Linked DNA regions of Arabidopsis thaliana. The protein of the gene in region 1 interacts with the protein of each later gene in a pairwise test. Each region holds a gene or a part of one and is shown in the gene's direction. Other genes may lie near its edges. The genes, in order: CEV1, GONST5, AT5G35460 and AT1G14020.

Region 1 (7,481 bases):
TTGTGATCTGAAACTTGACAATTGATATGTCTAATAAGATTTCTACGTTTGAACGGAAACGCACACAACCAAAATAAGACATGAATGAATTATACGGTTATACCTGTTGAGATGTCCACAAAGGAATTCGAATTATGTGGCCACTCATCTGGGACCTCAACTGTTGTAAAATCCATTACACTTAAACAACAAAAAGCGAATCAACTTAAAAATGATCAAGCAAAAAAAAATCAAAGAAACGTAAACATAGAATGATGTAACAGAAAAACCCTAAAAATACAGAAGATATACGAGATATAAAAACTGGTAAGATTTTTATTTACTTTTTTTTTTTTTATACTCCTAAGATTTAGCTATAACTAAACGTATTTATATTTTTTGACCAAAAAAAAAAAAAACGTATTTATATTTATCTCTACAATAATTTCGATTAAAAATATCTAACAAAAAAAAAAGTTGTGATAATAATCAGTGGAAAACTATCATGAAGAGACAAGCTAATGTTCTTTAATTGAAATCTTAGAAAATAAAAAAACTAGGGTTGCGTAAATTTTAAGACTTTCTTATGTCACAGAACTGAACTTTTTTCACTACATGTAAACAGAAATTATAACTCATTTGCAACGGTGAAGAAACATAGACAAAGACCCTCCATAAATCTCAGAAAAACAGAGCAAGTAACTCAGATCATAAGATCTACAAAACACATCAACGGAACAAACAAATATCAAACCCTGAAATCTGATTCACATAGGACCAAATAAACATGAGATTTCACTGACCTTGAAAATTGATATGATCGAGGGAACAAAAGAGCAGATTTACAGGAAAAGTGAAGGAGAAACAAAGGAAGGTTTAAGTAGAGGATTGCTAGGGTACGAGAGTTACGAAGCAGAAGGTGGAAAGGTTTAAAGGGACGACAAAGAGGAGGGAAGATTTGTCGGATAGCGAAGAGAAAGTGGCGCTCTTTGGGATTCAAATGTTTGCCATTTTCTTCTTTTGTCTATCTGACAGTCTGTTCTTTGCTGCACTAGTGGCCACACATCTCCACATGCACCACCAGTTATCAAAGTTTGACCTATTAATTATTGGGTTCGGTTCGATTCAATTTTCTCTCGTAAATAACGTAAACCGAACATATACCAATTTTGTCTGCAAAGTCCAACAAACCCATTTTCTCGATTCTGTTGGGCTTGATGATACTAGAGTTGGACCTTTATTTTTTCAGCCCGCTGGTTTTAGCCTATTTTGATATACTAGTAAGTAAAGCATCACTATCAATATATTTTGATTTATTCATTGGACTAATCCGTTGATTAATTAATATTTTGAAGTTTTATTTTTGTCGGCAAATACTTTTTAAGTTTTATCTGTAAGAAAGTTAGTGACGATGAATATCCTTTACCCCACTACTTGTGATTTGTTGTGTTCTTCACACTTCTATTTTAGTTATATCACTATCAAATATCAATTACTATTTTGATTTAGTCACTAATTCGATGATAATATATTTCTAAGGATATTTTAAAGGTTTATCGGCCGTTTTTTCACTTTTTTTACAGCCACTGTAAAACTGTAACTAGAAAAAAATCGACTGTGGAAGTTGTCGGTGGTGGTGGTGGTTGTTGCTTGGTTGGATTATGATTTGTGACAAATATATTAATATTTTAAAAATCTGGAAGAGTGACGAGTAGAGGAGACAAATAGCTTGCTCTTTGCATCTTCTTAGCCATCCCAAGATTCTCCTCTTCGTCTTCCTTATAAACTATCTCTCTGTAGAGAAGAAAGCTTGGATCCAGATTGAGAGAGATTCAGAGAGTCACATCACCACACTCCATCTTCAGATCTCATGGTAAAGCTTTTAACTCTTCTTACACTCATGATCCATTCTCAGATTTGACTTCCTTTACTCGGATCTCCTCAGATCTAATCGTAGTTTCTGTTTTTGATAATTCCGATCAGATTTGAACTATTCCGACGTTTCGGTGTTGGAAGCAACTAAGTGACAAATGGAATCCGAAGGAGAAACCGCGGTATGCTTTTTTGACTCTTGCTTCATCATTATACTTACCTTTATCGAAATCAGGAATTATATGTACTGAAATTGATTGATTTGGGTGTTGAATTGTGTATTGGAGAGATCTGATTTCAAATTTTCTGTTGAGGTTTCTAATTTTGGCTTCATTGATTCGACTTGATTTGTAGGGAAAGCCGATGAAGAACATTGTTCCGCAGACTTGCCAGATCTGTAGTGACAATGTTGGCAAGACTGTTGATGGAGATCGTTTTGTGGCTTGTGATATTTGTTCATTCCCAGTTTGTCGGCCTTGCTACGAGTATGAGAGGAAAGATGGGAATCAATCTTGTCCTCAGTGCAAAACCAGATACAAGAGGCTCAAAGGTTCTCTTTTGATCCTTCTGAAGTATACTGTCTTCATTGTTCATCGATAGTTTATCAGTATGTTTTGAATTTTGGATCAGATTGGTATTTATAGCAATTTGCTAATTTCTGATTCTAGGTAGTCCTGCTATTCCTGGTGATAAAGACGAGGATGGCTTAGCTGATGAAGGTACTGTTGAGTTCAACTACCCTCAGAAGGAGAAAATTTCAGAGCGGATGCTTGGTTGGCATCTTACTCGTGGGAAGGGAGAGGAAATGGGGGAACCCCAGTATGATAAAGAGGTCTCTCACAATCATCTTCCTCGTCTCACGAGCAGACAAGATGTAAGGCATTGCTGTTCATTCTTCCCTCTTAAGCATTCGCATCCTCACGCAATTTAGTTTTGGAATCTGATTTTGTCATTTGCTTATTTACAGACTTCAGGAGAGTTTTCTGCTGCCTCACCTGAACGCCTCTCTGTATCTTCTACTATCGCTGGGGGAAAGCGCCTTCCCTATTCATCAGATGTCAATCAATCACGTAAATATCCTTTATTTCTAACTCTCTCGCCAACACATATATTTGTACCTAGGCTTCTCTTTTATGTCAAAACTCTAAACAATAAAATCTGTTGTTGTCATTCACGCTGCAGCAAATAGAAGGATTGTGGATCCTGTTGGACTCGGGAATGTAGCTTGGAAGGAGAGAGTTGATGGCTGGAAAATGAAGCAAGAGAAGAATACTGGTCCTGTCAGCACGCAGGCTGCTTCTGAAAGAGGTGGAGTAGATATTGATGCCAGCACAGATATCCTAGCAGATGAGGCTCTGCTGTGAGTTCTTGTTTTGTAATCTTGTTTGTTCTGTCGTGGTGTACCGAGCGTTTTTCCTATTAAGCAATGTCCTGATACTCATTTTCCAATTCTTTATTTATTGTACAGGAATGACGAAGCGAGGCAGCCTCTGTCAAGGAAAGTTTCAATTCCTTCATCACGGATCAATCCTTACAGAATGGTTATTATGCTGCGGCTTGTTATCCTTTGTCTCTTCTTGCATTACCGTATAACAAACCCAGTGCCAAATGCCTTTGCTCTATGGCTGGTCTCTGTGATATGTGAGATCTGGTTTGCCTTATCCTGGATTTTGGATCAGTTTCCCAAGTGGTTTCCTGTGAACCGTGAAACCTACCTCGACAGGCTTGCTTTAAGGTAAGTTCTATTTCCCCATTCTTCTGAAGCAATTACTCAAAGGATTGTTTGCCTATACTGTTTCCCATTTTAATTTGATCATGGTCAATTTTTGGGACAGATATGATCGTGAAGGTGAGCCATCACAGTTAGCTGCTGTTGACATTTTCGTGAGTACTGTTGACCCCTTGAAGGAGCCACCCCTTGTGACAGCCAACACAGTGCTCTCTATTCTGGCTGTTGACTACCCAGTTGACAAGGTGTCCTGTTATGTTTCTGATGATGGTGCTGCTATGTTATCATTTGAATCACTTGCAGAAACATCAGAGTTTGCTCGTAAATGGGTACCATTTTGCAAGAAATATAGCATAGAGCCTCGTGCACCAGAATGGTACTTTGCTGCGAAAATAGATTACTTGAAGGATAAAGTTCAGACATCATTTGTCAAAGATCGTAGAGCTATGAAGGTAAGTTTGTAGTTTTAGTCATCTAGTCACCCTCACTTTGATTTTAGTGTATGCTATATTGACCTTTTATTTTCTTTCAGAGGGAATATGAGGAATTTAAAATCCGAATCAATGCACTTGTTTCCAAAGCCCTAAAATGTCCTGAAGAAGGGTGGGTTATGCAAGATGGCACACCGTGGCCTGGAAATAATACAAGGGACCATCCAGGAATGATCCAGGTAAGAAATTGGTTTTAACTATGGAATCGAGAATGCTCTCTCTTTCTCTCTAGAAGTTCATTATTGAAGTACCATTTGCTGAATGCAGGTCTTCTTAGGGCAAAATGGTGGACTTGATGCAGAGGGCAATGAGCTCCCGCGTTTGGTATATGTTTCTCGAGAAAAGCGACCAGGATTCCAGCACCACAAAAAGGCTGGTGCTATGAATGCACTGGTAAGTTTCTGATCTTGGATTTTTGACTTCTTCATTCTGACCAATTTGTTAGTCTAATCTGGGTACTTTTCAAATGAATAGGTGAGAGTTTCAGCAGTTCTTACCAATGGACCTTTCATCTTGAATCTTGATTGTGATCATTACATAAATAACAGCAAAGCCTTAAGAGAAGCAATGTGCTTCCTGATGGACCCAAACCTCGGGAAGCAAGTTTGTTATGTTCAGTTCCCACAAAGATTTGATGGTATCGATAAGAACGATAGATATGCTAATCGTAATACCGTGTTCTTTGATGTAAGTCACACTTACCTATACTTGCGTCTAATTTTCTTGTTCTTTCAAATTGCTTTTAGACACGAATATACATTAAACTCACAGTTTCTTGAGTTTGTCGTAATTTTTCCATGATATGTTTTCCAGATTAACTTGAGAGGTTTAGATGGGATTCAAGGACCTGTATATGTCGGAACTGGATGTGTTTTCAACAGAACAGCATTATACGGTTATGAACCTCCAATAAAAGTAAAACACAAGAAGCCAAGTCTTTTATCTAAGCTCTGTGGTGGATCAAGAAAGAAGAATTCCAAAGCTAAGAAAGAGTCGGACAAAAAGAAATCAGGCAGGCATACTGACTCAACTGTTCCTGTATTCAACCTCGATGACATAGAAGAGGGAGTTGAAGGTACAACTGTTTTTATTTCTTCTTTGGTTTCCGTTATACCCATATGTTGCTGTTTGAAATATTGATCCAGGGGAGGGGATTATTTATAGTTGACAGTTGTCTAAATAGTTTCCATACTAGGTATCTCATCATGTCTTAACTATTTGGCATTTGTGAAACTTAGGTGCTGGTTTTGATGATGAAAAGGCGCTCTTAATGTCGCAAATGAGCCTGGAGAAGCGATTTGGACAGTCTGCTGTTTTTGTTGCTTCTACCCTAATGGAAAATGGTGGTGTTCCTCCTTCAGCAACTCCAGAAAACCTTCTCAAAGAGGCTATCCATGTCATTAGTTGTGGTTATGAGGATAAGTCAGATTGGGGAATGGAGGTATAATCTCATTTGAACTCCTACATGAATCTGCATTGTTCTGACATATCCACTTTGGCATTCACTTTGTTTATATTTTCCGCTGTCTTTCTTCAGATTGGATGGATCTATGGTTCTGTGACAGAAGATATTCTGACTGGGTTCAAAATGCATGCCCGTGGATGGCGATCCATTTACTGCATGCCTAAGCTTCCAGCTTTCAAGGGTTCTGCTCCTATCAATCTTTCAGATCGTCTGAACCAAGTGCTGAGGTGGGCTTTAGGTTCAGTTGAGATTCTCTTCAGTCGGCATTGTCCTATATGGTATGGTTACAATGGGAGGCTAAAATTTCTTGAGAGGTTTGCGTATGTGAACACCACCATCTACCCTATCACCTCCATTCCTCTTCTCATGTATTGTACATTGCCAGCCGTTTGTCTCTTCACCAACCAGTTTATTATTCCTCAGGTTTGACACCTCTCTCTGTCTATCTATCTCTATCTCTATCTCTATCTCTAGAACAAACCTTAATTACGTTCTGTTTAACTGAAACCATGTTGTGTTTGTCATCTATTTACGGTTCCAAATCCTGATCAGCTGGTTCTATTGTTCCTCTTTTGCAGATTAGTAACATTGCAAGTATATGGTTTCTGTCTCTCTTTCTCTCCATTTTCGCCACGGGTATACTAGAAATGAGGTGGAGTGGCGTAGGCATAGACGAATGGTGGAGAAACGAGCAGTTTTGGGTCATTGGTGGAGTATCCGCTCATTTATTCGCTGTGTTTCAAGGTATCCTCAAAGTCCTTGCCGGTATTGACACAAACTTCACAGTTACCTCAAAAGCTTCAGATGAAGACGGAGACTTTGCTGAGCTCTACTTGTTCAAATGGACAACACTTCTGATTCCGCCAACGACGCTGCTCATTGTAAACTTAGTGGGAGTTGTTGCAGGAGTCTCTTATGCTATCAACAGTGGATACCAATCATGGGGACCACTCTTTGGTAAGTTGTTCTTTGCCTTCTGGGTGATTGTTCACTTGTACCCTTTCCTCAAGGGTTTGATGGGTCGACAGAACCGGACTCCTACCATTGTTGTGGTCTGGTCTGTTCTCTTGGCTTCTATCTTCTCGTTGTTGTGGGTTAGGATTGATCCCTTCACTAGCCGAGTCACTGGCCCGGACATTCTGGAATGTGGAATCAACTGTTGAGAAGCGAGCAAATATTTACCTGTTTTGAGGGTTAAAAAAAACACAGAATTTAAATTATTTTTCATTGTTTTATTTGTTCACTTTTTTACTTTTGTTGTGTGTATCTGTCTGTTCGTTCTTCTGTCTTGGTGTCATAAATTTATGTGTAGAATATATCTTACTCTAGTTACTTTGGAAAGTTATAATTAAAGTGAAAGCGAATATTTTTTTGTTTCTGTAGTTAAAGCAGTGGTTATGATTTTTCAATTTTCATTAGTGAAAGCAGTTACGTTTGATCATAAGCACTAAACTACGATGCAAAGAGAAATTATTTTTAACTGGGATTCAAAAGTAATAAGATAGAAGTAGAATTGATCAAAGAAACTTTTGGTCGGAATGAGGAATCATTCAGAGACATTGGAAGTAGCCTCTGAGGATGTTCTGTTTTGCTGTAACTGCTGAGACTGATCCAATCTCCTCACATCTTCAATCATCCTCGCGACCTCTTCCATCTTTGGCCTCGATTCTGGATTCCTTGCAACACAGGCCAACGCTAGCTGAAGCATCTGAACCATCTCCTCTTCAATGTTCTGAAACTTCAAGAGCTCCACATCGAAAACCTCTGCAGTCCACTCTTCTCTCACAACAGACCGAACCCATCTCGGAAGATCAATGACGACACGCTCATCCTCGAGACCAGGCTGAGTTAAAGGTGTCTTCCCGGTTAGCATTTCGAGAATCACCACACCAAAGCTATAAACGTCTGATCTTTGACTGACTCTCCTCGTCTCAATAACTTCAGG
Region 2 (3,817 bases), on another chromosome or scaffold:
TCATGGAGGAAAATGACGATAAAGACAATATGAAAGAAAATTATGTTTACAAATGTACATATTTACCTGGGAGGAGTCATATTAAATGATCTAATCCGCCTTAGTGTATTGTATGTATCTAGAACCTCTTACTTATTCATAAACAAAAGTACATATTTTCCTTACGTTTTCTTATAAACAAATGTACATAATTTCCTACTTATATATATATATATATGTATTCAACTCAAAAATTATAGACAAAACAAAAGGATTACGTATTCTTTTTGTTCCTGATGAATCTTTCACCATATTTAAGAAAAACTATAGGTTTGAAAGAAAGAATGTACCCCGATGATCGCCAAAATATTTAAATCACATGAAAAATAACAATGTGATTTAGTTAGGCATTGAGTTTTTAGGATACTTTTGGTGGAATTGTTATTTTTCATTTTTAAAAAAGGAAAGATTTTTAGTGTCCAATGATAAATTCAATGATCTTAAAAAATTATGTACAGTGAAAGGTAATCATTCCTTGTTAACGGTATGTATTCTTTACCATGTCATGTGCATATTACGATTTTCGTAACAAAAACGTGGTCACGAATTTTAAGAAGAAAATGCCACTAAGATATGTGTTGTACAGGCTAATATTTTAAATATGAGCAATTAGTGTTACTATATTTATGCATAGCATGCAAATAGTTGTTTAGATGACCAAAACAGTATAATACATATAAGTTGTCCAGAAATCAATCGATATATTTGCCAAGAAAAAGAAACGAAAACAAGTTGACCTCCTAATAGTTAGTTACTTCTAAAATCAGCTAAAACTATTTTTACTATATAATCAACACAACATTCTCACCAAATCATCTTGTTTCAAAACCACAACAAAAAGAAAAAAGAAAGAAAAAAAACATTACAATTTAAGATTTTCAGACTCACAATACTTACGACATGGCAACTCAAGTGTCAAAGAAAATCTGCAGTGTATTGATGATTGTAATTTTATTTGCAATGATGTTTTCAGCTCATTCCAACTCGATAGATGTGTGTGTCAAAAATTGTGTCGTGAACCAGTGCATGAAAGCATCAAAGAAAGCGACTCCAGCCATATGTGCCAACCCTTGCAAGATTATATGTGATCCTCTCAACAACGAGCGATACATCGTCCCTCGAGGTAATGGTGGTCCTATAAAAAGGTTCTGCAGAGCATTTAGCTGGATTTGTACCGCTTAATTGATCCACATTACAAAAAATTTGTCTCCTTTCTCTATGCATAAGTTATATATTTATGATTTTTTGTATCAATGTATCGATCAATATTTCAAGTATTTATGTATCCTTCTTCCATAATTTTTTATCTTTAACAATATTTACTTGTATACGGAAAATTTGTTAAAAATCTAATTATTTATATTTATATATGTAACAACTGAAAATTGGTAACTTGTATAAGCATAATTTATGCTGCATAAACATATTTGCATTTAACTACACGGAAACTTACTAAAGAGAAAAAGAGAATTCTCGCATATAAAACAGAACCGTTACTCTGTTTCTCTTGGCGCTTTAATTAGGGTTTCTTATTTAGCTTTTGCATTGCCACATTCCTAAAGGTTTCATCTTTTGGATCCTTCTCTGACTCACTTCTTAAAACCCATCAATGGAGGAAGGAAGTCTGTGGCGTCAATGGACTATGTTCAGATCTCTGTTATCGATTCTTCAATGGTGGGGTTTTAACGTTACTGTTATCATCATGAACAAATGGATCTTTCAGGTTTAAAAAGTCTCTTACTTTTATCATTAAAGACTTAGCCTTTCGTTTGTTTTATCTGATCTGCGTTTGAAATTTGGTACCTTTCCTTGTTTGCAGAAACTGGATTTCAAGTTTCCATTATCAGTTTCATGTGTTCATTTCATATGTTCGTCGATTGGAGCATACATTGTGATTAAAGTCTTAAAGCTTAAACCTTTGATTGTGGTTGATCCAGAAGATAGGTGGAGGAGGATTTTTCCAATGTCATTTGTGTTCTGTATCAACATTGTGTTGGGGAATATTAGTCTTAGATACATTCCTGTCTCTTTTATGCAGACTATCAAATCTTTAACTCCTGCAACAACAGGTTTAGGGTTTTTTTAAGATTGAGAATTTTTCAAAATAAAGTGATTTTTTTTTATTGTTCTGATTGGTTTTTGTGTAATGGTTTTTTGAGTGCAGTTGTGTTACAGTGGTTGGTATGGAGGAAATATTTTGATTGGCGTATTTGGGCGTCATTGGTGCCTATTGTTGGAGGGATTCTTCTTACTTCTATTACAGAACTTAGCTTTAATGTGTTTGGATTCTGTGCTGCTTTGTTTGGATGTTTAGCTACCTCTACAAAGACCATTCTTGCAGAATCTCTTCTTCATGGATACAAATTTGACAGGTCAATGTTCTGTTTCCTGAGGTTTTGATCTTCAGTTTCACATGATAGGTGTTGAATGTGTGAAACTTACATTTGGTTTCAATGACATGCCATGCTCTCATAGTCCAATACTTGATTTGCTTTTTCATATTTCATGGAACTGAGTGTTTGTGTCCTCCTCATTTTCATGTCTCTCTATGTAGCATAAACACGGTATACTATATGGCGCCTTTCGCGACCATGATTCTCGGGTTACCTGCATTTTTACTAGAAAGGAATGGAATTTTGGATTGGTTTGAAGCACATCCATCTCCATGGTCGGCTCTCATAATTCTTTTCAACTCAGGTGTTCTAGCTTTCTGTCTTAACTTCTCCATCTTCTATGTCATTCAATCCACAACAGCAGTCACATTCAATGTAGCTGGAAACCTTAAGGTAAATGAACAAATCCCAAACCACATAACATTAATCTTTATATTCTAGTTTCAATAACTCAGATGTTTGATGGATGGTATGTGATTTGCAGGTTGCAGTAGCTGTGTTTGTTTCATGGATGATATTTCGAAACCCGATATCACCGATGAATGCTGTTGGCTGCGGAATCACACTTGTGGGCTGCACCTTTTACGGATATGTAAGACACATGCTTTCTCAGCAACAACCCGGAACTCCTAGGACTCCTCGTACCCCAAGGAACAAGATGGAACTGATCCCTCTTGTTAATGATAAACTCGAGAGTAAAATTTGAATATCATCGGTAAGTCACTAGACTATTGAACGCACACAAAGAAGTTAGATTTGATCTTGAACATCCACAAGAGAGTTATAGTTTAACTATATGTTTATTTTTACTCAAACTAGAGAAGTTAGAGAAGTGCCATTTTATTTGTTTCCATTGTATTAAATTATCTATCCTCATCAAACCAACTCAGAGATGACCACAAAGATACTTAAAGCAGGCCCATTTTTGTATTCAATTATGGTAGTGCTTTCACTTACCTCAGCTTTTTAATTTTTCCTTCCAATTTTGTTTGTGCCATAGTGCCATGTTCTAACATCAGAGACTTAATACATGACAAAATGGTGCAAGTTTGGGAATCTTTGAAAGAAGATGAAAATAGAAAGTTAATTTGACAATATATAAGAAATGATTATTCATTTTCCCGCCTTGATACATGAAAGAGCTTAAGACGGTGTTTAAGGGAAACGAATATTTTAGCTCTCAAAACAGCTCATCAAATTCGTTGCTTTAGCTTCTCAAAAGTAAAAAATGGGCTTTTTCAAGTGGGCCTCAACTTATGTTGCTGAATTTACCGCCATATCCTTCCCTTACAAAAAATCAATTTTCAAAAAATCTTCATGCTACAGTAGTCTGAAACCAGGTCAAAGGAGTTAAAGAGAAAAGGGCAAAACAGTCAAACAGCATA
Region 3 (5,470 bases), about 12 Mb from region 1:
TAACATCCTTAAAGGAACTGAAGATTGAAGGAATGAAGAGGGAGTGGAAGGAGAAATTGGTTGGAGAAGATTACTACAAAGTCCAACACATTCCCGATGTTCAATTTTTCAACTGTGACGACGAACAAAGAGAATAACCAGTAGCAGGTAAAAAATAAACGGTATAATAATGTTCACTTTTCAAAGTCATGTGGACAGTCTCAACTTTTATACATTGTTCTAAAATCGATCATCTTTTAAATAGATGCAGGAAAGAACAAGAAGCTAGTCAAATTCTCTTATATTGGGAGAGATAGAGGCTGCTTCACAAGAGTCATCTACTGATAAATCTCTGGAATACAGATTCTGAAGTACTACTGATTACGTTGGAGCTCTCGCTTTCAGTGCATCGTTATGTTGTGGCTCAGAACTATATGCTTTTTATTGATGTTTGTTTTCGGTGTGGATGCATGGAACGTGCTTGAGAACTCTTTCATAAAATTGAGAAACGAACCTTGTTTTTTTTGTAGTTCATTGTAAAAATTGGATATTTATGTTTATACGAATTTGTTTTGTTTTCTCGTTTGTGATTTAACACAGTTAGCTAGCTTTTGTAAGCTTTATTTACATCAAATCTGGTTAGATTTGTTTTTTATCACATTTAGGCTTAAGTTTTGTTAGTTTTGCACCTCTTTTACTGTGTACGCATAGTGAAGTCATGGTTGAACCAAGACGAGCAAAACTGATGTACAATAAACAAAACAATCTCATTTTGTACAAGTTTTTTGTTTCATTTTAATTTCTTTTATCAGTACTGTGTGATATTTGCACTCGTGACTTAGACTTGGGTCGTTGAGGGATTAGTCGATTTCTTGTTCAGGAACAACATAAGATTGTCAGAACAAAACACCAGTTTTTGTACTTTTGTTTTTAAATCTTGTTTCAACTTCAGACAGACCCCCTTATTCTATGGCTTTAGTATATTTGTTTACTTTTGAACAATGTTCAAAAAAGTGTTAGGCGATAAACGGGCGATGACCCAACGCCTAGCGTTTAGAACGCTTAGTCGGGGTTTAAGTGATTTTAGGTGGTTTATCCGTTTATGACATAAAACATTTTAAATATGATATTATAGATAAAAATCATATAAAACTATATATTAGAAAATATTAATCGGATCCTAATCAAAAATTAGATAAAAATGTTTCTTTAATTTATATCAACAATATATGAATGTTTATAACCATGTGTAGAAGTAAAACTTATAAAATTTAAGCAATATTAGTTAAAAATAAAAAAAATATACTAAAACGAAATTTATGTTATTTTAGGCAGTCGAGATGATTATTTAGGCGTCAACTGAACGCTTAGCGGCATATAAACGACCGTCTAGACCGCTTTTTACAACACTGCTTTTGAATCTTTCAAACTTCATCCAAAAACAAAACTAAAGCTTCTGGAACATGTGAAACCTTGTCAAGAAACTCTAGTTTTGAACTCATAAAACCTAGTTAAGAAGTTTTTTTTTTTTGTCGGCACCTAGTAAAGAAGTTATACCACAGCATTCTTTTTTTACTTTTTTTCTTTAATACAAGATGCAATTAAACAAAATGTTCCTCTAACTATAATAATGTAGAAAAATACGTGTACGCTAGGAAATTTCTCGACCCGCGCAAAAGAGGGTCCTAGAAGTTTCAACTTTCGACACGTGGCTCCTTCTCAGTCTCTCTTATTAAAGTCTTTAAATTATATAATCACCAAAGGCAATTAATGGAATTAATTTACTTTGAGGACTAATATTCCATCTGATTTCCCAAGATAAAACATAAAGTCCTTATTACTTAATTATGAATGTAATTATTGGATTACATGTAATTAATCACCACTTTATAAAACTGAACAAAAATAGTAACGAATATAAAGAGTTTAATAATGATTTTTGGGTCATTTTCCTTCACCAAATTTTTAATTCCGCATAAAGTAAAATATCCTGAAAACAGAAAAATTCAGTGTTTTCGGATTCTCCTTTAAAAACGACAAAAGCATCTACAGAGAAATCTGACCGCAATAATGGCGAATAACGAAGATTCAAACTCCAATGGACTAGACTCGTTTGATGCTGTTAAACAACGTTTCAAAGATCGATCAAAGGTACAACATCAGATTCGATTTTCACCATTTTTGATGTTTCTCTTTTGTTCCAATTTTGTTGATTTTGACTTTGTGGACCAATTGTTTTTGATTTTGACAGAAAGTTGTTCAGACGAGAGAGTTGTTGTCTAAACAAGCGGTACAAACGCGTGAGATCTTATCGAAACAAGCCGTTAAGATCGCTAAACAAGCCGAAGAACATGAGAGATTCATCAATAAGGTTAGGTTTCTCTCTTGATTCTTCAATCATGTTTTGATTTTAAGTTACTTTGGTTTGAAAATGTTTGGTTCTGTAATGTTTTAAAGGTGACACATCTCGTTGGTGTGCTTGGATTTGGAGGTTTTTGTTTCCTACTTGGTGCAAGTGAGTTCAAAGAAATTGTGTTTTTTTTTTGTTTTTTTTGTGTTTTGTTCTTAATTCAATGTTGTTGATGTTGATGATGTTTTCGTTTTCAGGACCTCAAGACATTCCTTTAGTTTACTGTTTCTTCTATGTGATCTTTGTTCCTCTTCGATGGATATATTACCGGTTTAAGAAATGGCATTATTATCTTCTGGTAATGTCTCTTTTGAGGATTTGGAATTAAGAAACAGTCGTTTTGATTGTTATTGAAACAATTTTTGTGTATGTGATAGGACTTTTGCTACTATGCCAATACAATCTTCTTGGTTGATCTTCTTCTGTATCCTAAGAATGAAAAGCTTTTCATGGTTTGCTTTTCCTTTGCTGAGGTATGCTTTTTAACTACATGTATGTATATGAGTCTTTTGTGTCATTGTGTGTGCTGATTTATTTTATTGGTTGTGTCTTGTGCTGCAGGGACCATTGGCGTGGGCGATTATTGTCTGGCGTTGCAGTCTGGTTTTTAGTTCGCCGGATAAGATTGTTAGTGTTCTTATACATCTCTTACCTGGTGAGTTCTATAATCTTCTTGTTGACAGAAGAAGATATGTTATTGATTCATATTGCTAAAGTTGACGGCTTTGATTAAAGTAGTTGTATGAATTCTTAGCTTGTTGTTCCCCTCTCAACCGTTTTTAATTCAAACACATGGTTCCTTGTTGTAATGCATATGATAGATATAGTTAAGCTTTATGCTCTCTCTCTCCATTGTTTCTTTATTATTGTAATGAATTTTGGTTTCAGGGCTCGTGTTTTTCACGATTAGGTGGTGGAATCCAGCGACTTTTGCAGCTATGCACCCTGTAGGCACTGATCGTAGGGTTTCATGGCCTTATGTTGAAGACAAAGCTTACCTATTCACATGGCTGTTTCTCGTCCCCTTAGTCGTTTATACTCTTTGGCAAGTGCTCTATTTTCTAATCGTCAATGTCCTGCGTAGGCAGAGACTCCTTAGAGATCCTGAAGTTATGACTTCTTACAGGTATCTCTTGTCTACGCCGTATGTTAATGTTCTCCTCATATTGATCGCTAAGGTCACAGCATAATGTAATGTGTTCTTACCATAGAGTGAACACTTGTATTGATGGAATCCTTTGGTATGTGCAGAGAGCTGTCGAAGAAAGCTGAAAAGGCAAACAATAAGTTGTGGCAGCTGAGCGGTCTGCTAGGGGATCAGAATCGTATATGGATGTACATCCTATTCCAGGCCATCTTCACGGTGGCAACCATGGCATTGACCGTACCGATCTTCCTATCTTATAGACTTCATGTGATCTTTCAGATCCTAAAGATTTCTGCGGCTGTGTGGAACGGAGGGAGCTTTTTACTAGAGGTAATGCCACGGCAAGTGATCCAGAAAGAGAAGAAGAAGAAAGCTGAGATGCAGCCGATAGAGGAGCAGATACTACATCATGAAGCTGTGTCACATCCGACTGAGAATGAGCCAAAATCTACTGAAACATGATCATGGTTCTAACAAAAAGGTACATGTAAAATAAAGTTTTCAAAGGTGAATCATGATTGGTGTTTTTTTTGTTCCTCATGTTTTGTTCTATAACTGTTTGTTTCTCTTGTTGCTATACATCATTCTAAAAGCTTAATGTATGTGAATGATCTTGTAGTTTATTTTTTCTAAAGAAACTTGTTATTTACTCTTTAGCCAAAGTTTTGATCCTGTTTCGCTAGGACATTCTGGCCTTAAAATTGCATTATGAGAGATTTAACTATATTTTTAACGCGTTTTCGAGAAAGGAAAATCTTCGGATTTCAGCGAAGTAGATTGGGATAAGTTCTCCTTGAGACGCGGATTTTGTTTTCTGTTTCTGCTGTACAAAACAACCATCACTAAAGATCATAACATTCATGTGTTTGATAGTGCATAGTTCTCGAACATGTCGTTACCAGCCGCGGAATAAGCTTAATAAGTATGCCGATAGCATTATGAAATCCATCATGTCCGATACGACTATTGTTCAGTGGAGATGAAGCTTAATAACTTGAGTTCCGCCAAAGAATTCACTCAAAAATCGACCATGAAGAGGATTTTGATCGATGCAAATCGCCCCTGTAACGAGCTGATTTGGAAGAAGACTCAAGAACCACCAATTTGCACCGTACGGTCAAATTGAGTCAAACCAAACCGAAGAGCCCCCTGATGTACTTGAAGACTTTCTGCTGATTATATTCACCCTCATGAAAAGACTACACGACGTTTAGAAGCTGCGACTTTAACTTAGCTCTCGACGCCATCACCGAAGATCCTCCATTATAGCCTAACGGCTAGAATCATCACGCTCCTCTCTTTATTTCGCATTATTCGGTTTCCTTTTCTAAGTTTTAGACCATTGTTGTACTTTTCAATTTAAGCTCTTTGATTCTCTACTTTGTATTCACGCTTTGATCAATTGAAATTCAGTTTGTTTCTTGCTTCAATACTTTGTATCTTGAATCAAATCTGTTCTTGCGAGTTCTAGGTTGTTTGTAGAATCAAATACTTCTCATCTAAAAGCTTCCATCGCTCGCTTCTAAGCATTGGACCCGTGAGCCTTGTCTTGGTGGAATCCAGGACGTGTAGTCGTGTATCACATGAAATGAATGGAATAAGATTTTGATTATATAATCTACAAAGTAGGTCGCATTAAGATACATGCCAAATACCGCACTGAACAGAGAAAGAAAACAGAAAATCAATGTAAATATTGTTGGTGTGTCCTTGACTACAATGTTTTTTGAAAAATTATCTTGATCATGTGTTTTGTCAGGTCCGAGTTGTCCATGATATCAATATTCATGATGGTAATCGATCAACCTTTGAGAGTATAGTAACAACACTTGGCATATTTCTCACTTACGCTAGTCTCATTTTTTGTTCATTCAATGAAAAAACTTAATTTTATGAATAAAATTTCTCGAAATGCGCTTAAGACCTTGACAGTA
Region 4 (4,908 bases), on another chromosome or scaffold:
GCTATTTTCTCATATGCAAGACTGCAGACACAGGTCAGTAACACACGAGCCCTGTCAGCTTAATTCATGGCCTTGTTCTAACCAAACCAATGCACCAACATAACCTATAAACCAAGACTACATAGCATTTCTCACTTCAGATATAACTTTCCACTTTCCAGCACTATGTCTTGGTGTAACTTAGGCAGCTATCAAATTCTCACACATCCGGCGCAATGCTCTATTGTTCATGTCATTAGAAGCATCAAAATCTATTTCCTCTAAAGAGATTAGTTTGACTAAGTTAAGACTTCAAGAGTAAAGAAAAAGCGAAAAACTTACTTCGACTTGGCTCTTCTTTGCCACATTCGACCAATCCTTGGTATGAATACCCGTCCTCCAATCAAAGTCAATGATCAGCGTCGTCTCTGGTTTGTGATCGACGGCGGAGAAGCAACTTATGTAATCCCCTGTTTCCACAGCTACAAACGAGAATTGTCCCGATTCTACTCCGTCCGATTCGTGATAAGCCGTCCCTTGTGGCGATGTGACCTTAAAAATCAAACACATTGCATTATACTGAAATCGCCGGAAGAAGAAATTGAAGGGAAATGCGATCCGATCGGATGATTATTACCCTGACGGTGACTTTATGGGAAGAAGGAAGAGGATGATCCTCGTGAGGGTTTATAATGCTGTATTTTCCGATGGTCATTGCGTTTGCGTGAATCTCCTCTGAGATGCATTTCGTGTGCCCAGAAAGTAGCTCGTATCGTATAGAGAGTGTCACGGGAGATAAAATTGAGAGGATCAATAGTACGATCGAGCTCCGACGATGATTCATGACGGCTCCGATATAGAGAGAAATCGATCTGACGGATTTCAAAGTTTAGCTATTTTTCTTGTTAAACGGAAGGAAGGAAACAAAAGAAAGTCAACACGTGCATTGCCACGTGTTAGTATTTCATTCGTTAAAACACGTGGAGTACTACCCTCTGGAATTGGGCTTTAAAATTAAGGCCCATTAATAATGTTGGACCTATATACTTGTAGTGGATCACACTAAAGTAAGTTAGAAGTAAATAAAGAAACAAATAACACATCCAGATTTTATAATTCAAGCATAACTACATATGACTTGGTAATGTTAATTTTAAACTTAATTGGGAAATTTTGTTGAAAAGACAATTGTACTCGAGTTTTTAGTAAAGAATAAAATAGTAATCTTTCCTTGGAAGGGATGTTAATAATGCAACATTGAGGTACGTGTCATGATTTCGTTTCAGTTTTTGTTTTGTTTTACAACAGCTTGAAAATATCTGAATAAAGGAGATGAATATAAACAGTGGTTTGAATCGTGATTAGTGCAATAAATAGATGACAGTAATAAAAAAAGTACGGGAGAACAATTAGGTGAATCCGTTGACGAATGACAACGACTATCAAAAAGGCAAAATGTGTCATCTTTCTTTATATGTTTTTCAATGTTGAATATTCTTGAAATCTTTATTTATCATATGTTTTTCTGATCAATCATTATCCTTGAAACCTATTTTTTTTTTTTTTTGGTTATAGAATAATCTTTGACATTTAATGATATATATAATGAAACAAGTTAGGAAAATTGAAGCTTTCTGAATTAGGAAATAAATTGTGTAAGCAATAGAATGAGTTTCTTGGGAAAACAATAAATAGAAGAAGAAGAAGACACTTTGACGGTTAATTAACTTATTTTCCCATCTCTCACCGTTACCACCTCTTTTTTTTTTTTTTCCGTCTCGTGATTTTTTTTTCTTCTTCTGAATTTCGAAAGAAAAAAAAACTCCTCGAGATTCAAACCATTTGACACAAAGGAGAGAAGAAGCATTTCATTTCGCGTTTGTCATCTAATTTCAATTTCTGACATCTCACAAGATCGGAGAAATTTAGGTTATAGTAATTTTATTCTCATGAAGCGGCGACGACGATCGTCGGAGGAGGGAGATGGAAGTTAGATCGGAGAGTAATATTACTCAGGCGCGAAGCGATAAGCTTCCGCTTCCGCCGGCAGTTCCGAAGCCTCGTGTACAAGTATGGTTCGTTAGAGTTTGCTCCAGCATTTTGGTTTGGACGTGTTTGGTTCAGCTTTTCGCCGCCGGTGAGCTTTGGCATTCCCGGATCTTCACTGGTTTAACCAATCAGATTTCTAGATTCTCAGCCCCTGTTGAGCCAGTTCCATTGCCACCTCCTCTACCTCCTCCGAGTCAGTTTTCTCTCTATTTAGGGGACATTAGGGTTCGTTGGTGCTTGAGAGAGTTTAACGAGATTGTTGATTTTGTGCAGGGAATTATACAAGCAATGGTATTCTACTTGTATCCTGTAATGGTGGATTGAATCAAATGCGATCCGCGGTTGGTGACTTTGCTTTAATTCTCTTTTTCTTCTTCTTTCAGATTTGATGTTTTTCCAAATTCTGATTTTTATGTTGTGTTTCAGATATGTGATATGGTGACTGTTGCTCGGTTATTGAATCTCACTCTCGTTGTTCCAGAGCTTGACAAAACATCTTTCTGGGCTGATCCTAGGTACTCTATCTTTGGTGTTTATAGAATCACTCATGTGTCTTATATGCTTAACATTTTTTAGCAATCTAAAGTATCCTCATTTTTGTTTGCAGTGGTTTTGAGGATATTTTTGATGTGAGACATTTCATTGATTCATTAAGAGATGAAGTTCGGATCTTAAGGAGGCTTCCTAAACGGTTTAGTAGAAAGTATGGATATCAAATGTTCGAAATGCCTCCTGTGAGCTGGTCTGATGAAAAATATTACTTGAAGCAGGTTTGTCTTGTTTATCACTAGTTTTGCTGTTTTGGTTCCTTTGACTATCCTTGTTACAAGATATTACCTAACCATTTGCATATGTGATTGGTTAATTTCTTGTTCAGGTATTGCCTCTCTTCAGCAAGCATAAAGTTGTACACTTCAATAGGACTGATACCCGCCTGGCAAACAATGGTCTTCCGCTCTCTCTCCAGTGGCTCAGGTGCCGGGTGAATTTTCAGGGACTAAAGTTCACTCCACAGCTTGAGGCTTTGGGATCTAAGTTAGTTCGGATTCTACAACAAAGAGGGCCATTTGTGGCTTTGCATCTGAGATATGAGATGGACATGTTAGCTTTCTCTGGCTGCACTCATGGTTGCACTGAGGAAGAAGCGGAAGAGCTAAAAAAGATGAGGTTTCTCTTCAAAAGATTTCTCCTGAATTGGTGCTCTGGTTATAGGTCTTTTTAGTTGTTAATTCATAGGTCCATTCTGTGTTCTTTAGGTACACATATCCCTGGTGGAGAGAGAAGGAGATAGTCTCAGAGGAGAGGAGGGCGCAAGGGCTGTGTCCTTTGACGCCAGAGGAGGTGGCCTTGGTATTAAAAGCGTTGGGATTTGAGAAAAATACACAGATATACATTGCAGCTGGTGAGATTTATGGGAGCGAGCATAGACTATCCGTGTTAAGGGAAGCATTCCCGAGAATTGTGAGTCTACCAGTCCTGGTTTCCCTTTTCTTGCTACAAAGAATGCTCAACTGCATCGTCATTACAATGCACTTTTTCTTATCAGTTTTACTCACCTGTGGTTATAGGTAAAGAAGGAAATGCTATTGGAGTCAGCAGAGCTGCAACAGTTTCAGAACCATTCGTCTCAAATGGCTGCTCTAGATTTCATGGTATCTGTGGCCAGCAACACTTTTATTCCTACGTATGATGGAAACATGGCAAAAGTCGTGGAAGGTCATCGTAGGTAAATTATTTGTGGTGTCGAATGCATTCAATTTCATGACAACTAAAAAGGTGGTGTTAAGAATAACCAAACCTGTGATTCTATATAACCATTATTGGTCTATATCTGATTTGAATTTGCAGATACCTTGGATATAAGAAGACAATCCTGCTTGACCGTAAGAGACTCGTGGAGCTACTAGACTTACATCACAACAAGACCCTCACGTGGGATCAGTTTGCAGTAGCAGTCAAGGAAGCCCATGAGAGACGAGCAGGAGCACCTACTCATCGAAGAGTAATCTCTGACAAACCTAAGGAGGAAGATTACTTCTACGCAAATCCTCAAGAATGTCTTTGTGAAGGTACAAATTGCCACGACCTGTTTGGCCATAGAAATTTAACACATTGAAGTCATGTTTTTAGCATATTATATCTCATTGCTTCCGCAAGAGGACGGCATGTCAAACACTTGAACGGGAGCTGCATAGTTCCTTCCCTGAGTTTTTCCATTTTTGTTTGTAATTTTTTTCAATTTTCCTGCATAGTTGCTGATCTTGATTTATTTAGTTTTACGTAAATTAAGATGTAACTAAAAAGAAGATTATGTCTCATCTTATAGAATTTCAAAAAGCCTGCTTTTGGCAATAGCCTAACATACAAATTGTGGTCTCTCAACTCTGATGTCTTGAGGTTGATTCAAGTCTATGTGGTCTGAGACCAAACCAGTAAAGATTTTCTTTCTAGCCTTGAGTTTGTTCTGCAGGATAAGCTATACAAGCTAAGCTAATTCTCACTTGGTTTCCCAGAAGATAATATCCCCTTGTTCGCCAACCAACCCAAGATCTTTGAGCCTTCTCTCTTGGTAATACTCTAAAATGTCAAGTTCAAGCTCTCTATCCTTGAAGATTTGGTCGATTTGCTGAAGCACTCTCTTCTCACCAATCCTTATCTTGAGAGCCATTTCCAACCTAGGCTCAAGCTTTCCTTTGTCCAGAAGCTTCTCATCCTACAACAGACGATGAAGACGAGTAAGAAATGAGTGTTAAGCTGCAAAGACAGTACAAGTAAGAGCTCGAACATATATACCTCTTCAATGGTCGTATCAAAACCAGACAGAGCAGATTTGCAGGCATCTCTGACAACACGGCATATGAGTTCCTCGTTTGTACGACT

Evidence for each region.
Region 2: the proteins of CEV1 (region 1) and GONST5 interact in a protein complementation assay, tested with the Arabidopsis thaliana proteins (one large-scale study listed by BioGRID).
Region 3: the proteins of CEV1 (region 1) and AT5G35460 interact in a protein complementation assay, tested with the Arabidopsis thaliana proteins (one large-scale study listed by BioGRID).
Region 4: the proteins of CEV1 (region 1) and AT1G14020 interact in a protein complementation assay, tested with the Arabidopsis thaliana proteins (one large-scale study listed by BioGRID).

The regions. Positions count from the first base shown.
Region 1 is NC_003076.8:1,529,619-1,537,099, reverse strand, and holds CEV1 (Cellulose synthase family protein), read left to right. Parts: upstream 1-1,541; 5' UTR 1,542-1,852; intron 1,853-1,962; 5' UTR 1,963-2,009; coding exon 2,010-2,033; intron 2,034-2,205; coding exon 2,206-2,401; intron 2,402-2,519; coding exon 2,520-2,725; intron 2,726-2,818; coding exon 2,819-2,921; intron 2,922-3,033; coding exon 3,034-3,211; intron 3,212-3,319; coding exon 3,320-3,586; intron 3,587-3,686; coding exon 3,687-4,032; intron 4,033-4,112; coding exon 4,113-4,250; intron 4,251-4,338; coding exon 4,339-4,464; intron 4,465-4,545; coding exon 4,546-4,758; intron 4,759-4,884; coding exon 4,885-5,146; intron 5,147-5,309; coding exon 5,310-5,512; intron 5,513-5,608; coding exon 5,609-5,959; intron 5,960-6,114; coding exon 6,115-6,699; 3' UTR 6,700-6,968; downstream 6,969-7,481. Other genes in the region: AT5G05180 (myosin heavy chain, striated protein), read right to left, coding at 1-7, 104-176; RUL1 (Leucine-rich repeat protein kinase family protein), read right to left, coding at 7,083-7,481. UniProt on the Arabidopsis thaliana protein: Catalytic subunit of cellulose synthase terminal complexes ('rosettes'), required for beta-1,4-glucan microfibril crystallization, a major mechanism of the cell wall formation. Involved in the primary cell wall formation, especially in roots.
Region 2 is NC_003070.9:7,676,560-7,680,376, forward strand, and holds GONST5 (golgi nucleotide sugar transporter 5), read left to right. Parts: upstream 1-1,648; coding exon 1,649-1,762; intron 1,763-1,858; coding exon 1,859-2,108; intron 2,109-2,203; coding exon 2,204-2,411; intron 2,412-2,593; coding exon 2,594-2,825; intron 2,826-2,916; coding exon 2,917-3,138; 3' UTR 3,139-3,284; downstream 3,285-3,817. Other genes in the region: AT1G21866 (Plant thionin family protein), read left to right, coding at 940-1,221. UniProt on the Arabidopsis thaliana protein: GDP-mannose transporter that may be involved in the import of GDP-mannose from the cytoplasm into the Golgi lumen.
Region 3 is NC_003076.8:13,670,549-13,676,018, forward strand, and holds AT5G35460 (uncharacterized protein), read left to right. Parts: upstream 1-1,940; 5' UTR 1,941-2,049; coding exon 2,050-2,130; intron 2,131-2,230; coding exon 2,231-2,350; intron 2,351-2,436; coding exon 2,437-2,494; intron 2,495-2,586; coding exon 2,587-2,687; intron 2,688-2,766; coding exon 2,767-2,862; intron 2,863-2,950; coding exon 2,951-3,044; intron 3,045-3,277; coding exon 3,278-3,515; intron 3,516-3,640; coding exon 3,641-3,998; 3' UTR 3,999-4,955; downstream 4,956-5,470. Other genes in the region: AT5G35450 (Disease resistance protein (CC-NBS-LRR class) family), read left to right, coding at 1-137. UniProt on the Arabidopsis thaliana protein: Glycerophosphocholine acyltransferase (GPCAT) that utilizes acyl-CoA to acylate glycero-3-phosphocholine (GPC), forming lysophosphatidylcholine (LPC).
Region 4 is NC_003070.9:4,800,968-4,805,875, forward strand, and holds AT1G14020 (O-fucosyltransferase family protein), read left to right. Parts: upstream 1-1,752; 5' UTR 1,753-1,962; coding exon 1,963-2,221; intron 2,222-2,301; coding exon 2,302-2,369; intron 2,370-2,454; coding exon 2,455-2,543; intron 2,544-2,635; coding exon 2,636-2,798; intron 2,799-2,905; coding exon 2,906-3,195; intron 3,196-3,284; coding exon 3,285-3,489; intron 3,490-3,596; coding exon 3,597-3,754; intron 3,755-3,876; coding exon 3,877-4,144; 3' UTR 4,145-4,408; downstream 4,409-4,908. Other genes in the region: AT1G14010 (emp24/gp25L/p24 family/GOLD family protein), read right to left, coding at 322-531, 617-823; LSMT-L (Rubisco methyltransferase family protein), read right to left, coding at 4,526-4,741, 4,822-4,908. UniProt on the Arabidopsis thaliana protein: Glycosyltransferase involved in the formation of rhamnogalacturonan I (RG-I) oligosaccharides in the seed coat mucilage, which is a specialized cell wall with abundant RG-I. Transfers the rhamnose residue from UDP-beta-L-rhamnose to RG-I oligosaccharides.